3 linked regions of the Lytechinus pictus genome follow. The protein of the gene in region 2 purifies or fractionates together with the protein of the main gene of each other region. This does not show direct contact. Links are inferred from orthologs where the notes say so. Each region holds a gene or a part of one and is shown on either strand. Other genes may lie near its edges.

Region 1 (7,471 bases), on a different chromosome or scaffold from region 2:
AAAAAGTTTGGAAAATGGAAAAGCTTGTGATTGTTCATTGATATTACATGAAATAGACCTAATTCACATATCAATATTTGATATTTTGTATCTTTATGGGAGCCTAATTGTGTAATGACTAATTCCTAATCTTTATACCAGAATAAAAGGTCAGTAACTTTATACATGTAGACAGAGATGTACATGAAAGAGGAAGTACAAATCAAAATATACTTCTAAATGGGATGCATTTATAAGGCCATATTATACTTTGCCAATTAATTGGCATTTTCCTGTGTCTCAAAGTGCCTCAATTTCTTCCCCCACCAGACGAAGGTTGACTCATCTTTATTGATATTACACGTCTGTCTAACAACATACTCCTATTAATGTAATCTTGCAGAATTAGGGCTAATAGTCCACATTACTTTCATCAAAGTCATTTGTAAGTGCTTTCTTTGTGAAGGATCCAAGTGATACAGTTGTGTATCATATTTGTTTCAAATTCTCATCACAACTCTTAATTTCTGGATTTTAATTAACACTTTTTTTAAACCCAAGAAACACAATTCAGAAGTTGATTTGATCAAGTATAATACATTTTGCAGATTCATAAAAGAAATAAATTGATCTCAATTATAATTCTATTAATATTCTATGGAACTTCCTCTAGTTTGGATAGCAGTGGGTAGGCTTGAAAAAAAAAGAAAAAACAGCGTTGATGACAAATTGATTGAATGTTGTGCCAAAAGATCTTGGCTTCTCAAAAGGAAAATCACGGAAAACGTATTTTTTCCTCAAAATGCACAGAACAGCAACAGAAATTACTCCCAAATCTAAAAAAAAAATACAAATATTTACTAGCCACAAAAACACGATCTCACTTCGCTATAATCGTGTTTATCCAAATATCGTGATCGCACTCGACTCCATTCGATCGTATATCGAAAGCATTCACAAGCGCAAGCTCAATTTTAGCAAAGTACCAACGAAGGCAGCACACGGCTGTGTGTTGCCCTCTACGTTCGAAGATGTACAACACTTTTAAAAATGGCGGATAGGCGAAAGACCTTGACTGTTCAGAACGATGTCCAAAAAGCCCAAAAATTATCAATAAAACTTCATCCAACCCTAAAATAATACTAAAAACGTGGAAGGTGAGGATGTATTTAAATGCTAAATATGTTTCTTAAAAGATGTTATGTACCGGTAATCGTTTACATCCGATGAACGCGGATTATAAAGCTTTCTTGGTACAGTGGCAGATACAAATTTTGCCCAACGCGAGTATTGTGTCATCATTATAATACATAAAAACAAAGAGTGCGTATTGATTATGTTCTTTTGTCGATAGTTATCGATATCAGTAAGATATTTTTTTAAGCAATATATCGACAGATAACTTTTTTAACGATTAACAGCCCTAGTCAGCATGGATTGGTTAATTGTTAAAGTTCTTATTTTTAGTGTTCATTGGACTCACTTCATTGAAAGAATAACTACCCTGTCTGCATCAAGTTTTGCCTACTCATTCTAGGATAATCCCTATGTATGTTTAAGAAATTCATAGGATCAATTACATGCCTCAAAGAGTGTTGAAATTGAATAGGAAATGTTCAGTTTTACAAGCTAAGTTGCAAACTTTTATCTGTATGTTTACTTCAAAATTTTTTGAAATTTTTTCCATTGCTTACTCATATTGGCCATCTTATTGAAAAAATGTATTGAATGTTCACTTCGAAGTAACAGTGTATTGTAGAGCATTTTCCGTAGTTCACACTCTTGATGAAATCTGTACCCAATTTTCATATCATATTTTATTTTTCATTTTTGTCTAAATGTTCCTTTCCTTTTATATGTTGTGGAAAAGCTTTTGTTCTGGCTGCAGTCCATAATGAATTACTGTAATAAGCCACAACCAAATCCTGTTTCAAAACAAATACGCTGTGAGCTTGTGACTTGCAGTTTCATTGTTTTCCAGATAATTAAAGTGTATGTTGGATGATTTTGACCCCTAGTAGATCAAGTGGAAAATTTGCATGTTAAAGATAAATACCAGTTGTGGTAACAATCTCAAAATGAGTTCGAACAGAATCCAATAAAATTTGCACGTTAATACAGTTGAATTACATCGAGGTTGTACAGTATTTACACTAGAAGCAAAAATCTGTGATTTCTAAATTTTGGTATTTCATTGGAAGTTGGTATGCCTTTGTTTTCCAAAACAGTAAAAAACAATTGCTGATGTGGTTTACGGTACACCATGTGGAGTATTATAGAAACAGTGGATAGAAGAAGAAAAATAAATGGATAGGTGAGAAGTAGAAATGTGAGAGCAGAATAATCTTTCTTGAATGTAGTCCTGAAAAGGACTGTAAACCAGAAGAGATTGATGAGTTGAAACAGCTTGAGTAGTAGGATGGATGAGGAGATGCTGGCTTGAGTCGGCGAGTAGAAATGAAGAGCAGAAGCAGTAGAGAGACTCGACGTTTCGGGCAGGTTGACTGTCCGTCTTCAGGAGTAAGTGTTCGCTCGGCGTGAGGCGGTTATATGGAGTATGTGCGGACGTAAAAAACAAACAAAAAATAATAAAAATATCATTTTGCACAAGGTAATAGCACATATTAAACATGATACATTTAAGTTCTGTTTGCTGTTCTGCACGAAGCTATGACCAGTAATTATTACTAAACACAATTATTGCCAAAAATTGTCCTTAACGCAATGCCAACTGTTGTTGACTTTTTTCAGAAGCATCCAATTGATTTGAAACAAATTATATTAAATGATTGATTACCCTTAGCCATCCTACCAGCAGAAATTTAAAAAGTGTTGGGTTATGTATGAAAGTGAAATATATACCTTTCAACATGAGTACTACACCCAGGAAAGCATAATTCAGAGAAATGTCATAACATTTTTTCTCCAATCAGTAGTTATATTCAGTGTTATTATCTAATGTTGACAGGTCCACGTGAAGGCTTTAATACATACATGTATGTACAATTTTCTTGTACATTATTTACTGTATTGATGAGCTGAAAGTATTTATCACCTGTTTATACCTAAAAATGTCCTTCGACTATATTTGAAAGTGTTCAGTAGATTTAGACAAGAAATACTGTAAAAGAAAGACTTCCTGTTACTGCTTGACATAAATATATCTGATTAATTGGATTGCTATGTTCTTGTTAAAGTAAACAAAACGATAAAGTGGCCTAGAAGTTATTTTAAGCTTGTCTGCTTTTAATCGCAATCCAGCAGATATCTGTTGATGGCAGGGCTCCATAAGCCTGTAATGACAAGATGGCCTATTACATCATCAGTGCTATGAAACACGAAGCATCTGTGATATCGTGGTGCCCCAGATCTCAGCCCACGTTGGGAGGCGCACCCTCGGCTCTGCTGCCAGGGTTCGATTCCGCTCCCTTTATGGAAAGAAAAAAGGATAATTAATCCAGACGATGACTGTATATTTCCTAATCCAATCAGAGAAATGCGAGAGGCAAAGGCTGGATTTCGTCCCCTTTTTTTCTCTCTTTACAGTTTCTTCTTTTGCCAAGTAAACAGTGGAGGTCTGTTCATTCCCTCTGTGTTGCTCGATTGTTTCTCTTCTCTGGAATGGCTGAGAAGGCCGAAGGGATTCACAGCCGCAGACATTCATGTTCTCTGATTGTCTTTTAAGTGGAGCCGATGGGAATTAAGAGTGGGAGATTTGGTTTATCTTGTTTTAAACTTGCAGTGCATGACAAGGATAGAAGGCTTCCGCTGCATTTGGGGGGCTTTGGTTTCAGAGCCGTTATTCGCGAAGACTGAGAAATACGTGACAGCCAAACTTGTTCTGTGACAGCAGTTTTTAAACTACACTTCTTTTAAAAGGATAGTCAATTCTGTGCTACCACTTCAACAAATATTCCAGTTTGCAACAAAATATTTGTCCTTGCAATTGCAATCTTGGGATTCAGGGGATTGTTAGTGTTGACCTGACCAAAATCATTCCCTGCAATTATTGTACAACGTTCTCAAGGAACTTGGATGTAAGCAGTTTGCAGTCTGAACTCTAAAACAATTTCCTTGGCCATAGCTTAGCCCCTTCAGTCAGTCTCAATATTCTTGTGAGTAATATATATCTTTCAACAGTGTGTGTGGCAAGAGAGGTATAGGACCTTGATCGATTGGTCAAGGTTGTCATACTGAGGACATCAATTTCCATAGGGTGACTCTTCAAGTTCCTAAACCTAAGAGCACGTCACGTTCTTCTGAATGCCGGAGCTTACAATTCAACAAAGTTCTTCAAATAAACCGAATAGTCTTTGGCAGCCTGTTATGATGTCTGCCTTTCAGAAACCTCCACATAAGGGACGTGGTAGTGTTCATCGGGACAAGATCAACTCCACTTCAGATCCCTTGGAACCTACTGTCAGCTACAGACAGGCTGTCAATATTCTTCTAGGGGTGAGTGAATCCTTGTAGGTCTACGCAATCATAGGCGGTGTGTGAATGAAGTATTAGCAGTACAAGGTATGGTTGATTGGTTTGAATAAACTGAATGTAAACTTTGTCACCATGTCCTGGCTGGTTTGTTCGGGAAATGGTCTTTGGTTGGTTTGATTTTAAAGCATATAAGCAGCCATAGAAGTGACATCTCGTAGTCCTCCTGCATATTTCATGGAGAGTGATCTTTGGAGATACCACCAAGTAGGTGGTGATGATCTGTGCTGCAGAACACAACATCTCTGCAAAAAAGAGACCAATGTGCTGCCTCAGGACTTGAACTGAGAACCTTGGTATCTAGTCCCGGCAGGAAGTAATTCTTCAAAAAGCTGTGAGCACCGGAATCGGTAGCCAAGCTTAGCCAGGGTAACATAGGAGCACCTTGAGCACTTTACCACGTGGATATGTGCGCTATACAAATACCCTATGTTATTATTATTAGTATCTCTGTTTTACCCATTTAGTAGACTACATGTAGTAGGGTCTGACATACATGTATGTAACCATGCTGTGTGTATTCAATTAATCCTTAAAGGAGGATATTTTCATTTAGGAAGGCATATATATAATCAAAAACTTGGCTGGAACTTCACGAACTTTGGATTGCCTTTTGCTCACCTCTCGGCTGGTTTCCTGTTTATCTCTCTTCTTTTTCAATTTGCAGGGTAGTGTATCCTGTGCCAATTATTCAGTGCTTGCTGTCTTCATTAGGAAAGAAGTATAGATCCAAAATGATTGACATAAAAAAATGGGTCTGATTCTGGGTTTAGGCCTATAGATATCTTGTCATTGCGCTTCTGGGACTTGTCGGATGGACGTCTTATCCAGCAAGTCCTATTTTATCTGACAGTTACCATAGTAATATTGCATCTCAGCCAATCAAAATCAGCAAAAGATGTTAGATCGGACAACTTGTCAGACAAAAATGTTGATGAAACGCTTCCCAGGAGACAGATATCAATTATTTGTTGCTTACCATTTGTCTAATCTAGTGTGTAGCATGCAGACTACACTGCATTAGGCCTGCCTTTGATTGGGAATACGTGTAGCTTATTTCTCTTTCACATGTACATACATGTATATGTAGGTCTTGTTCTTGGACATTGTTGTGGTCAGATATTTGAAACCTGGCTTGACACGAAATTATTGTCACAAAAGAACCTACTCTGTAGTCTGTAAACTTGGCTCTAAAGGTAAAGCACCTTGCTATTGATAGTCTTGGGTTCTATCCCTGACTCAGTAATACCAGACTTTTAAAAATGGGACCCCACTGCCTTCTCACCAGACACTCTAGCATGGAGCTGGTTAGGTCGGCCTACATGTATCTAAGAGGCCGTTGTCATTACGCTTTCTAAAACTAGTTTACTGGAAACCGATTCAGGAAACCAGTTTGGAAGATCGCTTTGCTTGCGTTCCCACTTGATCACACGAAAGTGGTTTTCAAAATCACTTCACGTAAAGCGATCTTGTTGCTATGGAAACGCTCTCAGTGGGGTGACACGTTTTGCGCGAAATTTGAAACCGCAGCGTAGGCATTCTACACCTGTCGTGTGGAGTAGCACGCTCAAAATGTGCGAAGATTGCTTCCCGAAGAACGGTTGTGTCCTCACTTATGCTAAAACCAGTTTAAAACTACATCGCGAGGTGGTTTTCTGAACCGGTTTGGATTTTGGGAGATCGCTTCGATCTTTCTACATGTTAAACTAGTTTCCACTATTAGTTTCCAGTAAACTAGTTTTAGGAAGGTAGTGAGGACGGTGTCTAATGTGCAGTCCACAGTTCTTCATTGTAGATATTTTTCTAAATATGACTAGACATTGAATACGGAAGTTGATGCTATTTTCACTTTAACAATTACAATCTAACCTTTGAAAGCCTCCCCAGCTCAATGCAGTTTGTAGTCTATTTGCAATATATTATAATGGGTTACTCTGATACATGTCAAATTGACTTGACTCATAACCCATGCATTATGAAGTGGCGATTCCATACTCAGAGCCCACACTGTAGGCCTACATGTATAACGCACCATTATTTTCTATTGCGCACCCATGGGGTCACTCTTTCTTATAATATCACAACTATATATGTGAGTTTGATTTGAATTTGTTTAAAAATGCAAACAAATCTCAGTATGTACTTGATAGGTTTGAGCTTCCTTGCAGACATATTATAGAGGGCCTATATTACATCGAGTACTGTGTATAGATATTACCTAAATGTAGACATGTAACCCACTCTAAGGTATGTAAAATTAATTTCTCAAACTCGACCTGCTTTGCCAAAAAGCTTGAATTAACAATGAAACGATGTCGACCCCATGTACATACATTGAACGGTTATATTTCTTTCAAGCCCTATAATACACGTACAGTATGTACATACATTGTACATGTACATGAGTTCTTGGTATGATATTTTGTACAGCATACAACATGGGATAATCGGTGTAACATGAAAGTTCATGTTTAATCTTTAGCCCGACAAAATAAATCATCCCGGAGAAATCCAAGCTTTGGGATTCTGATTCCATCCCCCGGCAATCATTTCCTCTATCCTGCCTTCAGCCTGCAGAATCACCACAAAATCTGCCACTTCCTTGTCTATATGACAGACAAGCAGCAAGAGTTCAAATACTGTATTGACAGAAACCAAAAGAAAGAGGCTGTAAATTATCACTCTCCGCTAATGCCCTATAGATGTGAATAGATCTGAGTAGGTTTATAGATATATCATCATGTCTTGCTGGGTATCATAGCCGTATCAATAGATTATAGATGTTTACATGTAATTCATGTATTAATCCTTTAGTGAGTCTTTAAAGGGAAAGCCTGCTTTGATGGATTTTGTTGGTTTTGATAGAAGAATGATGAGATATTGTGATTAAAGAGATCATTTGCTGTACATTAACGGTATTAAAGAAATAAAGGGAATGGAAACCCAAGCAATTGATCAAATAAACAGAAAAGGGGCCCTCTCTCCCCTTTCACATTCACTG
Region 2 (7,308 bases):
TGTGGCCAAAACTGTGATTTTGGGGGGTTTTGGCGGCCATTTTGGATTTTGGCCCGGCACACTTTTTTCTCGGACCCGAGACAAAAAATATTGTCATTTCATGTTGAGATAAGGTAAAAGGAACACAAAAAAACTGTTCCCACAGTAAAACCAAAAATCACCCATTTATAGCCCACTCCTATAATATTATTCATTCAATCTTCCTCAAATTTTCAACAATATGTTTCTTTGATTTTTCTCTTTGATATGGATTCAGCTGGTTTCAAGGGTTTCATTCTCCTTTAAATACACGCAGCTGCTGCCTCCCTAGCCAGGCGGCTTCTAGAGAGTAAAAATCATTTTCTAACGTAAGGTTACTCTCATACGAAGCCAGGCAGTCCTCCCCATTCATCTGCGTGTACCGTAAGGGCACTAGTATTCAACCCGTTTGGAGAGTTTCCTCAAATATATAGAAATATAGAATTTACCTGAATTTCAGACCCGTCTTATTTCCAAGAGCAAATGCTGGTTATTCTTTTTCCGTTATTTTTTTCTTCAACCAGTTGACTGTGTGCGCGGGCGATCGAATTATAGTCGGCGACGGATTTTGGTACTAGTAAGTAGTATTCAACCCGTCGGCACTAGTATTCAACCTAGCGATGAAAGATGGCCCTGTCTCTCAATCTGCCCTTGTCCCATCCGACTATGGACTAGACCATTTGAGATGAGACCAAACAGGGAATTAATCAAAGCCAGAGATTTACATAGATCTAGATCTAATTTAGCAATCTAAACCCTTTTGAGATTTGCTATCAATCCTCACTAGGTTGAATACTAGTACCATTCAGTGCAAAAGGCCATCGCCGCATAATTCGATCCTCCGCGCATACAGTCGACAGATTGACAAAGAAAATATCGACAACAGATTACTCTGGAAATAACAAAGGTGTGAAATTAAGATAAATTCCCTATTTCTAAATATTTTGGGGAATATGTCAAAATCTTTGAATTATGCCAGGTTGAATACTTGTTTCTTGTTTCTTATTGTACTTCCCCAACGTTACGCGACGCTCGCATCCGTAACGTTGGGGAAGTACAATAAGAAACAAGATGGCGGCGTAAACATCGGGCAAGTCTCTTCCGTCTTTTCACAATATTTTTTCATTTTTTTGATGAATTCTTGTTTTAAAAATAACAACGAGAGCGTAGAAATGTCGGAAATGAAGTTTTATCCCATTTACATGATTTAGAGCTAGATCTTTTAGAAGGAAAGTAGAAATCTCGGGGGCGAAAGTTTCAGGGTTTTTTGCGGTACACGCAGATGAATGGGGAGGGCTGCCTGGCTTCGTATGAGAGTAACCTTACGTTAGTAAATGATTTTTATTCTCTAGAAGCCGCCTGGCTATAGAGTACCGAAGCGATGACGTCAGTTGCCATGGTGTCATGGCGGCCTGGTTCTAAACAAATGAACCCAGAATGAGTGTCATGGCGGCCTGGTTCTAAACAAATGAACCCAGAATGAAAGCGTGCGTTTGTCATAGGAGAAAATGGCTGCTATCGGAATGATCGCTTGCAATCTATTTTTCAGAGGAGCCAAAATGTGTACAGACGATAGTCGGGTGCGATTCTGTTTAGAACCAGCCCGCCATGACACCATGTCAACTGACGTCACACTTCGGTACTCTATAGCCTCCCCAACAAACGGCGGTAGCTGCAGTGCAGGTTATCTAGGGTGTACAGACAGTATTCACTGCAGCGTCAGTGCAAATTATAGGCGGTATTTTTACGGAAATGAAACCGATCGATGGCAAAAACTGTTGGATGATTTACCTGCTAAAATGATTGAGGTATACATCGAGCATACCTCAAAAGAAAGAGAATGACTCGATGAAACTACAGTACCAGTCACAATTCTTTGACCCACTGTTACCTGGTTTTACAATTAGATCAAAGCGACGGGTATCGTAGCTTCGCAATGTCAGCCATTGTTATACTGACTGTAGGCTCAAACATGATATGATAGATGGCGCTGTCCGTATTGAGTCCTAGCGTTAGCTAGCGAGACATGCATTGTTTTTCCCGGGAAACAAAAGAGAACGTGATGAATTGTTTGCGCTGCGCCCTGATTTACTGGAAAGTTATTTTGCCTAAGTTCTGAAAAATAATGCTGTTGTAGGTAGACTATATTGGAAAATATATGTAATCAAAGTGAGTTTTTGTATAGGATTGAGTTTAGATTGAAATCTCATTTCCTCACGTACTAGATTGAATTGAAAAAAAAGAAATCTCCGGATAATAGAGAGATCCGGATAAGGAGAGGCAGGATAAGAGAGGTCGGACTGTGTAGCACTTGTCTTAGTCTTACTCTTTAGAGTCTTAGTCTTACTATTTTTGTCTCACCTGCATAGCAGAGTGAGACTATAGGCGCCGCTTTTCCGACGGCGGCGGCGGCGGCGGCGGCGTCAACACCAAATCTTAACCTGAGGTTAAGTTTTTGAAATGACAGCATAACTTAGAAAGTATATGGACCTAGTTCATGAAACTTGGCCATAAGGTTAATCAAGTATTACTGAACATCCTGCCTGAGTTTCATGTCACATGACCAAGGTCAAAGGTCATTTAGGGTCAATGAACTTAGACCATGTTGGGGGAATCAACATCAAAATCTTAACCTAAGGTTAAGTTTTTGAAATGTCATCATAACTTAGAAAATATATGGACCTAGTTCATGAAACTTATACATAAGGTTAATCAAGTATCACTGAACATCCTGCATGAGTTTCACATCACATGACCAAGGTCAAAGGTCATTTAGGGTCAATGAACTTTGGCCGAATTGGGGGTATCTGTTGAATTACCATCATAACTTTGAAAGTTTATGGAGCTGATTCATGAAACTTGGACATAATAGTAATCAAGTATTACTGAACATCCTGTGCAAGTTTCAGGTCACATGATCAAGGTCAAAGGTCATTTAGGGTCAATGAACTTTGGCCAAATTGGGGTATTTGTTGAATTACAGCCATAAATTTGAAAGTGTGTTGGTCTAGTTCATAAAACTTGGACATAATAGTAATCAAGTATCACTGAACATCCTGTGCGAGTTTTAGGTCACATGATCAAGGTCAAAGGTCATGTAAGGTCAAAGAACTTTGGCCACGTTGGGGGTATTTGTTGAATTGCCATCATATCTCTATAAGTGTATTGGTCTAGTTCATAAAACGTGGAAATAAGAGTAACCAAGTATCACTGAACATCTTGTGCGAGTTATAGTAGTTTTCAAAATCAGCACTGCTGCTATATTGAATCGCGTGATGCAGGTGAGACGGCCAGAGGCATTCCACTTGTTAGTTCTTACTCTCGTCTACGATCTTACTCTTAGGCTTAGCCCACCCTGGCCATGGGTGCTTTACAAGAAAATTGAAGGCACAGCGCATACAAAATTGCAACAATTGCATGGCAATCCCGCGAATTTAAAAAGAGGTTTTATAAAATCAAGTCCTTCTACAAAACTTACCGAACGATGTGAAGTCAATTCCCCAAATCATGCATATCTCTCAAATAGCGTCATTTAATCGCTGATTTCTCTTTTCATTGATAAAATATGGATCCGTCTTTTAATTTCCAAAACTTTTCATCCAATTAGCTAAAGAGGGCGCGCGATTTATCTTCATATCAAAGACACTAGATTGAAAGGACTAGCCACAAAAACTATTTTACACGTAAATCGATGCAAAGCGTTACGCGAAGTCGGCAAAGTGTCCAATCTTTTTATAGTAAAGACTTTGGTGGAAAGTTCGTTGACAAACGAACAGTAGCACTGCTGGCTTCGTTCAAGGCACATAGAATTGTCTATTTTTTTGTTTTATTTGTCATCGCTTTGAATGTTTCAAAAAGTATTATCGTCAGCAAAAATAATCTAAAAAGTATGTTTTTAAGTTATTGCATTTATTGGTGTCTACATTTTATCAAACAATCATGGGAATATCGCATACATGTACAATGAATCTAGAATCTTGACTTTTTCTAGTTATAAAATACAGACGAGCTGAATTAAGGTTGTGAATTGTATTAGCGCCACCAATGACCTTCCTCTCATTTCCGTGGAAGAGACATGCGAAGCCACTTTCCTGGCCGAGGTAAGCGATTTTGCTCTTTTATGTGCTATGATATAAAAATTCTAAATGGAACGCCCATCACCAGAAAAACCCCTGGTGAGTAGCGGAATGAGTTTCGGATAACATTAAATCCATTATGAAGCGGTGTTAACTGACAACTAAAATATCCACGCGTAGACACGTTTGTAGTGCAAGGTTACATGTAGTATAGCATACTAACCTCGAGGGCTGTTATCGTTGAGAAAATTCTCTGTCGATATCATGCTTAAAGTATCTTAACGATATCGACAAAAGAACATAATCAATACGCATTTTTATGCATTATAGCGATGTCACATACTCGCGTTGGCCAAAATTTGTATCTGCCACTGTACCAATAATGCTTTGAAATACGCGTTCATCGGATGTAAATGGCTACATGGCATCTTTAACAATAGCAAAAATACATCCTCACCTTTCACGTTATTGGCATTTTTTTAGGGTTGGATGAAGTTTTATCGATAATTTTGGGGCTTTTTGGACATCGTTCTGAGCAGTCAACATCTTTTGATTATCAGCCATTTTGATATCGTGCTGTACATGTTCAAACATAGAGGGCAGCAACACACAGCTCGGCTGTCCTACGTTAGTTGAGCTTGCGCTTGTGATGTTTTCGATTCGATCGAATAGAGTCGAGTGCAGTCACGATGTTTGGATTCGCTATAATAATAACAAAGTGGGGTGAGATCGTGTTTTGTGGCTAGTATTTTTGTGAGATTTTTGAGTAATTTCTGTTGCTGTTCTGTGCAGTTTGATGAAAAATATGTTTTCCGTTTGAAACGCCACTTTCAAAGGGCCATTTCCGTGAATTCCGTGAAATCGTGGAAAATCACTGTGTCCCTACATAATTGCGGGTATTATTGATCAAGAGAGAAAGGTTATTGATATCGCTAAAAGCCCTACTAACCTCACAATACGTGTGAGTGGTCTTTTAGCCTAACTTTACTCTTTAATAGCAGTTGTCACTTGTTCTGACCGAGTTCTGAATGAACTGCTCAGTTCCCCCTTTTGATAGATGATAAAGGGCATAAGAATGAAAACAAAATATGCAACAATGAATTCTGGACTATACCAACAATCAGCTTACCAATACCAGTACACCTACATGTAGGGACAGTGATTTTCCGTTTTACCGGTACATACATGTAAAACGGAAATTCTGTTGGTTCTTGTACTTTTCATGTAAAAATTCATGGAATTCACCTTTGCAAAATGGAATTCAGGTTTTTGCTGTGTGCATTTTCAGTGACAAAACAGAATTTCCATTTTTAGATCAAGTTGAAACAGAATAACAGATTTTCAGAAATGGAAAAGACCATTTTTTTAAACGGAAAATCACTGTCTCTACATGTATACACCTACGGCCGTTACACGGCAAAACGATGTACATGTATCTGCAAAATGCACATTCTTAGAAAAATCACTTTGAAGTTACAGCTTTTGTCTTCAAAAGAAAATTTCCCAGTGTTGAATTTAGTTAGATAATTTAGATTTATAAGAATGTCATTGAATTCATCTCCCTTAATAGTTTTTATAACATTTAACTTTTGTTTTTCATCAAAATAACTTTTTTTATGTAGATACACCATCATGTAGCCAAGATATTCAACTGTCCACATTAGTCCTACGTTTATGGCAAAATGATATATCTGCAGATACATGTACATCATACAATTCCTACAGCGATATCATGGCAAAAAGGTGTATCTGCACATACATGTACATCGATTAGTTTCTATGGTTGAATCATGGCAAAGTGATGTATTTGCAGATCAAAAATACATCATTTTGTGTTTAAGGTCAAATTCAATTTAGCCATGAAACAAGCCTTTAAAACTTTAAAGATATGACAACTGGTAAAAGGGTGTAATTTGCACATACACACTTTTACCATAAACTAGTATCTGACTTTTGTTGGCACAATTTGTGGAAAAAGATGTACAGTAGGTTGCAGATACATGTACACTGTTTTGCCATAAACTAGTCTCTGAAATTCGTGGCACACAGTTTGTATGTTGTGCAGATACATCTTTTTGCCATCAACTAGTCTATGAAGTTCGTGGTTCACCGATTATGGTAAAAATATATGTTGCAGATACATCCTTTTGCCATATTTCACGAAGCTGGGTGCGCTCACTCATTTGATGGAAGAAAAGTGTAACTAACAGATACATCTTTTTACCAAAGATCATTGCGCTCTTCTGCGGCACTTTTGGAGTGTATCTGTAAGATACATCCTTTTACCATCAAACGAGTAGGCAAATTTGAAAAAAGTACTGCAGATAGCCCAAGCTACAAATGTATCTTGAAAACTAAAATACCTGTAATTATGAGAGTAAGATAAATGAAAAGAGCTCCCTGAAAAACCCCACCAAATGTCAAAACCTGAAAAAGTCAAAATATTCAGATACCGGTACATCGTTTTGCCATGTGACGGCCGCCTAGCCAGGAGGCTCCTAGAGAGTAAAAATCATTTAGAACTACATGTACTAACGTACATGTATGCTTACTCTCCATGGAGGCAGGGAATGCGTTCCCATTCATGTGTGTGTACCGCGAAAAAAACTGAAATTTTTCCCAGAGATTTCTACTTTCCTTCGAAAAGATCTAGCCCTTAATCATGTAAATGGGATACAACTTCAATTTCCGACATTTCTACGATATTGATTTCATTTTTAAACAAGAATTCATTAAAAAAACGAGAAAATTATTATGAAAAGACGGGGAATACTTGCCACCGTGTTTACGTCGCCATCTTGTTTTCTTTGTTCTTCGCCAAGACTACAGCATGCATATCGCCTTTATTTCAGTGCTTTAAAAATGACAACTAGAGGAAATACAATCAAGAAAATTTCGCACTTGCTATCCCAAATATGAAAATTATATACAGTACTTGTGGAAATGGAGAATTCTCCATAGAGACACTCTCTTGTATTCTACCGTTAAGGTCAGAGATTGCTGATATCTGTAGAAATGACTGAAGACACTTCCTACATATACTGTACATCACTAATCACAACCTGCCAAAACCTTCTCGGCAACTAGATACAACCCATACATGTACATGTAGGCTACATGTATGGGTTGTTAATAGACATTTTGTTGAGAAGGTTTTGGCGAATTGTGTGAAGATTGCAAATGAAGTGTAAAATGCAAGTACATGTATGTGGAG
Region 3 (7,669 bases), on a different chromosome or scaffold from region 2:
CATGGTAAGGTCAAAGGTCATTTTTAGGTCAACGATAAAGTTTACATGCAAGACTCTCTTATGACACCTAACTCTGCAACCGTAAGTCACTTTTCAACAAAACTTTTATGATAGATGTACTTAGACGACCTGCATGTTATGCTGCAGTCGGAGGTCACATGGTAAGGTCAAAGGTCATTTTCAGGTCAATGTTAAAGTTTACATGCAAGACTCTCATATGACACCTAACTCCGTAACCGTCAGTCACTTTTCAACCAAACTTGGATGGTAGATAGACTTGGGGGACCTGCATGTTATGCTGCAGTCGGAGGTCACATGGTAAGGTCATTTTCAGGTCAACGTTAAAGTTTACATGCAAGACTCTCTTATGACACCTAACTCCGCAACTGTAAGTTGCTTTTCAACCAAACTTGGATGGTAGATGGACTTGGGGAACCTGCATGTTATGCTGCAGTCGGAATTCACATGATAAGGTCAAATGTCATTTTCAGGTCAACGTTAAAGTTTACATGCAAGACTTTTTTATGACACCTAACTCCGCAACCGTAAGTCACTTTTCAACAAAACTTTTATGATAGATGTACTTAGACGACCTGCATGTTATGCTGCAGTCGGAGGTCACATGGTAAGGTCAAAGGTCATTTTCAGGTCAATGTTAAAGTTTACATGCAAGACTCTCATATGACACCTAACTCCGTAACCGTCAGTCACTTTTCAACCAAACTTGGATGGTAGATAGACTTGGGGGACCTGCATGTTATGCTGCAGTCGGAGGTCACATGGTAAGGTCATTTTCAGGTCAACGTTAAAGTTTACATGCAAGACTCTCTTATGACACCTAACTCCGCAACTGTAAGTTGCTTTTCAACCAAACTTGGATGGTAGATGGACTTGGGGAACCTGCATGTTATGCTGCAGTCGGAATTCACATGATAAGGTCAAATGTCATTTTCAGGTCAACGTTAAAGTTTACATGCAAGACTTTTTTATGACACCTAACTCCGCAACCGTAAGTCACTTTTCAACAAAACTTTTATGATAGATGTACTTAGACGACCTGCATGTTATGCTGCAGTCGGAGGTCACATGGTAAGGTCGAAGGTCATTTTTAGGTCAACAATACAGTTTACGTGCAAGGCTCTTAAGACAAGTGTTATTCCATCCCAGTCATTTCACAATGAAGTTTGATACGATTCTGTTGCGTGCCCTCGCAAATCATGATATTTCTGGTTTTTTTCATAAGTGGGCGAGACACAAAATCGCTTTTGCCTTGTTTTTTTAGATCTAGGCCTGTTTTACCATTGTCAGCCACGGTTGTTGGTGAAGTTCACGGTTGGCGGATTTGCCCTGAAAATTTTCAGGGTAGTCGCCGCCCGCCAACCGTGATGCATGGTAGCGAGAACGTTGCTACCTTCAATATAAATCAGTAGAGGCGCTGGTCAGAAAATTTGGATCGTCCCAGTTCCAGGGACTGTCTCAGTTTTCAAAGATTTTGCCACCCAAGAAATCTAACAAAGTTCATTGACCTGTCAATTGCAGACACCAATCAAGTGCGCTAGTCAATGTGAACATATCAGGTTTCATAACAAGATTATTGGACGACAGCAAGTAATTCAAAATAGACTGGGAATTGAGGTCACTGAATTTTTTTTTTAGCACTCTCAATCCCCGTAATTGCCATCTATGTCCTGCAGGGGTAAGTGCAAAAACTGTCCCCATAATAAACAAGGACAATCTCAATTTATCAAGACATGATTTGTCTTGGTTTGTGAGGATATCCTTGTTTTCTGGGACAATCCCAATTTCTGGACCAGCGCCTCTACTAATAAATAGGCCTTTGTAAATATCTTGCCATAATCGTTTTTTCATCTTTACCATATCAGCTTCCAATCGCACCCATCTTCTCATTTGAAATATTTTGGTCACTTGAAAATGGTATCGTCATGATTGTATTAACCTAGGGTTACACCAAAGCCGAATGAATCTGGACTGATTCTGCCCGAATATTGCCTGATTCAGATGAATTCTCTGTATTCAGAACTTATTAGTCTCTGATCATGCTGATAGCTGATTCGGGAAGTCCCCCCCCCCCCCATTACAGGAATTGCCAAGAATTGACCCGAATCAATTAGCCATCCTGAATAAAGCCAAATGCTACCCGAATAGTGGCAAGAATGGAGCCGAATGTGGCCGGGTTACTCCTATTACAGCTAAATGATGATCTGAATCAGAACGAATTTGGCCAAATCTGCCCAGAATACTCTGAATGTTTCACCTAATCCAACGGAATGTCATCCGAATACGGTACATCCCGAAGGTGGCCCAAATGAAATTTGTTGTGGCCACATTCATTCAGGAATATTTTAGAGGGTATTCGGTTGGTTTTGACCATTTCAAAACGAGACGAATTCTTCCACAAATGTTCTTGAGTCTTTCCCGTATTTTCTCCCATTTGCGGAGGGAGAACAGAATGCTCTCGAATCCACTGGGATACGTATTTTCGGATGGTGAGATCATAATGTAGGCATCCGTCTTAGCTTAAAACCAAAAAGTGAATAAACTATGATGACACTGACCATGAGAGGTTAGTTTGACTGATTTAAAAGTGGTCAATGGGCTTAACTTTTATCAAGGTAGTGATGTGTTTAGATCTCTGAATTATTAAAGTTTTGTGGCTTGTAAATTATTCCTGAGTTTGCAATAGCCATTGAAACATAAAACTGACTTAATACTTGGCATGTTACCTATAGTACGAATATATCAAGTTGGTTTAATCAATGTTATAAGTGTATTTTAAAGGAAATTTGAATAAGTATTTAGACATACATGTAGTGCATGAATCTAGACCTATGACAGCAAAGTCTCACTGCCTAATTATGTCCAAGTTATACTTAGATCTCATTATGCGCCCGTCTCGACGGGACATATTATGGTCATGCTCGGTGTCCGTCCGTCAACTTTTCCTTGTAAACGCGATAACTCCAGTTTAACTTAACCTAGGCTCATGTAGTGTGGTGTGTATAATACTAGCATGAATCCCAGGAAGCCTATGGATTTTGAGGTCAAAAGGTCAAAGGTCAAGGTCATAGTGACATGTTTTCATCTTACCCTTGTGCAGTCCTTGTAAATGCGATAACTTCAGTTTAACTTAACCTTGGCTCATATGATTTGGTGTGTATAATACTAGCATGAATCCCAGGAAGCCTATGGATTTTGAGGTCAAAAGGTCAAAGGTCAAGGTCATAGTGACATGTTTTCATCTTACCCTTGTGCAGTCCTTGTAAATGCGATAACTTCAGTTTAACTTAACCTAGGCTCATATAATTTGATGTGTATAATACTAGCATGAATCCCAGGAAGCCTTTCAATTTTGAGGTCAAAAGGTCAAGGTCACAGTGACATGTTTTCATCTTACCCTTCTGCAGTCCTTGTAAATGCAATAACTTCAGTTTAACTTAACCTAGGCTCATGTAGTTTGGTGTGTATGATATTAGCATAGATCCCAGGAAGCCTATCAATTTTTTGGTCAAAAGGTCAGAGGTCAAGGTCACAGTGACAGGTTTTCACCTTACACTGCTGCAGTCCTTGTAAATGCGATAACTTCAGTTTAACTTTACCTAGGCTCATATAATGTGGTTTGTGGTGTGTATGGTACTATTATGGATCCCAGGAAACCTATTGATTTTGAAGTGCAAAGCCCAAGGTCACAGTGACATGTTTTCATCTTACCCTTCTGCAGTCCTTGTAAATGCGATAACTTCAGTTTAACCATGGACCTATTACGATGGACATTCAACGAATCCCCTCCTTTGGGCCAAAGACCGTCACCGCTAATCCTTTTATAAACAGAGCGCTGGCAGCTGACGCCCATCAAGCCGGTCGTAAAACAAGCTATCACTGATGGACAGCGGAAATCAATTGTACGCTGCTCCTACACATTGCGATGTTGTTCGTTCACTTTATCAAAAGCAACGCACGGCAGCGAACGTTAGCACTATGAAAATGATTGCAGAAACAAGAAAACAGGCGTGCATAAAGGTATTTTTTACGTACATCGCAAACAACCGCACATGAAATGCATTGACATCGTCGTGCAGATCAGTATATCTACTGCAAAAAAGCAGTTGAAATTTGATGGAGAAATGTGCGGAAAAACGTTAAAAATGCATCTTTTTCGGACAGTATTGATGTCGATAGTAGCGCTTACCTTCGGTCAGAAGTTGATTTTCATTTGGGCATAAAATTCCACAGGATTGATGAAATTTAACGGGATTTTTTTTCATGGTCAGACGACAATCGCACATTATAGACAGCCTAAAATAATGTACTAAAAAAACGGAGATGAGTTGCGCATTGCATTTTAGGTAATGTAGGGACTTTCCCTATTGGCAATCGGGCTAAAACATGACCGTCTTTGGTCGAAAGAGGGCCAGTGATCGATCGATGACGATCAATGGCCGAAAGGAGCTTGTGTAAACAATCGCCCCGGGCGGTCGTCGTAAAAACCGCGTAAAGAGAAAGTTAAAGGTTAGACAGCGATTTTGACAGCTGGAAACAGGTGGTGGTCATAAAATGCTATCGTTGAATGTCCATTCGTAATAGGTCCATGGTTTAACTTAACCTAGGCTCATGTAGTTTGGTGTGTATGATATTAGCATGGATCCCAGGAAGCCTATCAATTTTGAGGTCAAAAGGTCAAAGGTCAAGGTCACTGACAGGTTTTCACCTTACCCTGCTGCAGTCCTTGTAAATGCGATAATTTCAGTTTAACTTAACCTAGGCTCATATAATGTGGTGTGTATGATACTATTATGGATCACAAGAAGCCTATTGATTTTGAGGTCAAAAGTTCAAGGTCACAGTGACATGTTTTCATCTTACCCTTCTGAAGTCTTTGTAAACGTGATAACTTTAGTTTAACTTAACCCAGGCTCATCTAATTTGGTGTGTATGATACTAGCATGGATCCCAGGAATTCTATTGACTTTTAGGTCAGACTGTCAAAGGTGAAGTCGCCACCTTCCACTTTTTTTTTTGCTTGGCAAATAACTCCATTTTCCGCTTTACAGGCAGGCGTATTATGTGCTCGCCTTATAGCGACACTTGTAGAATTAGGGTTAGGGTATGAAGATGAAGAATACATACCTTGGCTTTATTTAGTCAGCAAGGTTACTGTGGTGACATCCTGGGGCTAACGTGGGAAGGGTCCCCGCGCCAAGTTGTATTTCTAAAACTGCACAGCTATGGTAGAAATCCACTGCCACTGGGCATAAATGGCCCCCAAAATCCCCCTGGTCTTTCAACTGATTAGATAGCCAATAATCTAGTAATAAGATTTTGACTGTTACAATATCATTGGTAAATTGTTGAAATGCATGTCACCCATGGCCATATCATTGGAAAATCAAAAGCCCAATATGAATTTGGCAAAGTACTAAAAGTCACAAGTATTCACAAGGCTTAGCCTAGATACAATCTAGCTGTCACATGGCTATATTCCATTAGCTTGGTACACCACACAGTCAAACAGCTTGGGTGAGAACAACTGGCACTATACTACATATACATGTAGCATACTCACAAGTCTCATGCAACAGTCATTAGGTGTGTACAAATCTGTGTCATGTGGCTTTATTCTGTTAGCGTGGTATTCTGCACAAATATTACAACAGAAGATATACTCGCTGTAAGACGAGAACTACTAGAAAATTCACAATGCCATCTAGTGACAAAAACATTGTCGTAGCTCCCTATATAATGCCCAAGCCATTAACACCTTCTTGCTGGTACATCGTGAAGGCGGAGGACATGTATGCTCAAGGTTCCTTGATTAAGTCAACATCACAACCTTCAGTTTTGTTTCTAATTAAAACTTGTTGTATTTATGTGCATTAAAACAATTCACAAACTTCTCTCCTGACAGGTATACAACAGAGGAGCAAGAGAGTAATAGACAGAGTTATATGGGAAGAGAGATAGAGAAAGAGTGAGAATGCAACAAACACCAAACCAAAACAAAAATCATAAAATGATTTTTTTTCCATTTTCTTTTATAATAACCCCCCCCCCAAAAAAAAAATATATATATTTATTTATATATATGATAATAAATAGATATAACCATGCCCCATTTTTTACTCTATACCCTTCAAAAACTGCCCTCTTTCAGAATGTTGGTTTTCAATTCAAATTCAAATAAACATTTATTTTCTTCCGTTTCACAAATTTCTACATTTTTCGTAAACATAAATTGATACAAAAATCAGTTTGTCATGTAGAATATGAATATGTACATGTTTGGTATATAGAAGATGGCATATACCCTACATGTAAATGCAAAGGCCTGTGGCGGGATATGCCTATAGATATAAATACAATACACAATACAATTGATAATACTAGGTCAGTTGATATTGATGAAATGTGGGTGGCTGTTGCAAAAGGAACTCTTTCTTTAAAAATTAATTCTACATTTTATAAAACGAAAGTTAGCACTTATGGCATGGGCATGATATTATCATGATTATTCATGAATCCACTTCATATTTTGTCTTAATTTTGTTGTTAACATTCCATTGTGTACATGGTTCTTCTCTGCAGTACCTCATTTCATTAATTAAAAGCTACACCCCTTCTAGATCCTTGTGTTCCACCACTTCAAGTTCACTTGTTACCCCCAAATTTTCCAAATCTGGGGGGGGGGGGTCATTTATCCTCTTATCCTCTAAGTTATGGAACGATCTTTCTGAGATTATTAAAAAAGATTTAACTTCTGAAACTTAAACAAAAAACCTAAAAACATTTCTTTTCAATTCTCCTTAATTTCATAATTCATGATTTATAAATATTGTCTTGAGCACTCTGCAGAATGGCTTTGACGCTATATTAGTCCAACATTATTGTTGATGCTGGAGCTGCATTTTGTACGTAAAGCAATGTACACAATATCAGTCTGATTAAAAACAATGATCTAATTGACATAAAAACAAAAGAAAACAAAGTTTTGGGAAAGCATGAGAACAATTATTATGGGCATCTTTTAAGTATGCCTACCTCTTATGTTGTTTACAGAGTAATAAGAATATTGTAAGAAAGGGTCCAGTATTCCTCTTTTTATGCGCCAACATTCCTGTGCGACTTTCAGCAAAACATAAAGGCACGAATTCACAAAGTTGATTTTCGAAACCATCGGTTGAACCCATGGTTTATGCAGATTTCATGTATAAATTACGCTTATTTACCGCATACTAAAAAATGTCCAATGCTGATACGTGCTTTTGTCACAGTACGCCAAATAGACGCCTCTTGCCTTGGTTATCCACGCTATTTTATTAATGAGTCCACTGTTTTGAATTAATGAGTCCACTCTTCAAACAGTGGACTCATTGATAAAATAGCATACTTAACCATGGCAACAGGCGTCAATTTGGCGCACTGTGACAAAAGCGTGCATCAGCACTGGAATCTTTAATATAACATGTTAAATAAGCGTAATTTATACATGAAATCTGCATAAACCATGGGTTCAACCAATGGTTTTAAAAAGAACTTTTGTGAATTTGGGCCAAAGATTTCTGCTCATTATTCCATGATTTTACATTACAGCATGCACCAATTATAATAAAATTTTCTCAATCACTGTAATGCCACAATTCCATCTCTTGACCAA

The links.
Region 1: the proteins of cdc42 homolog (region 2) and formin-binding protein 1-like purify together in Drosophila melanogaster (affinity purification with western blotting; 4 studies listed by BioGRID). This does not show direct contact. The link is inferred for Lytechinus pictus from reciprocal best matches to the Drosophila melanogaster genes Cdc42 and Cip4.
Region 3: the proteins of cdc42 homolog (region 2) and actin nucleation-promoting factor WASL-like purify together in Drosophila melanogaster (affinity purification with western blotting; 3 studies listed by BioGRID). This does not show direct contact. The link is inferred for Lytechinus pictus from reciprocal best matches to the Drosophila melanogaster genes Cdc42 and WASp.

Annotation. Positions count from the first base shown.
Region 1 is NC_087259.1:13,023,956-13,031,426, reverse strand, and holds the start of formin-binding protein 1-like, read left to right. Parts: upstream 1-4,308; coding exon 4,309-4,434; intron 4,435-7,471.
Region 2 is NC_087258.1:1,884,112-1,891,419, reverse strand, and holds the start of cdc42 homolog, read left to right. Parts: upstream 1-4,009; 5' UTR 4,010-4,118; intron 4,119-7,308. UniProt on the Drosophila melanogaster protein: Regulates mbt kinase activity and is also required to recruit mbt to adherens junctions. Together with mbt and Frl, regulates photoreceptor cell morphogenesis. Together with Frl, has a role in the neuronal development of mushroom bodies.
Region 3 is NC_087247.1:47,756,600-47,764,268, reverse strand, and holds the start of actin nucleation-promoting factor WASL-like, read left to right. Parts: upstream 1-4,656; coding exon 4,657-4,746; intron 4,747-7,669.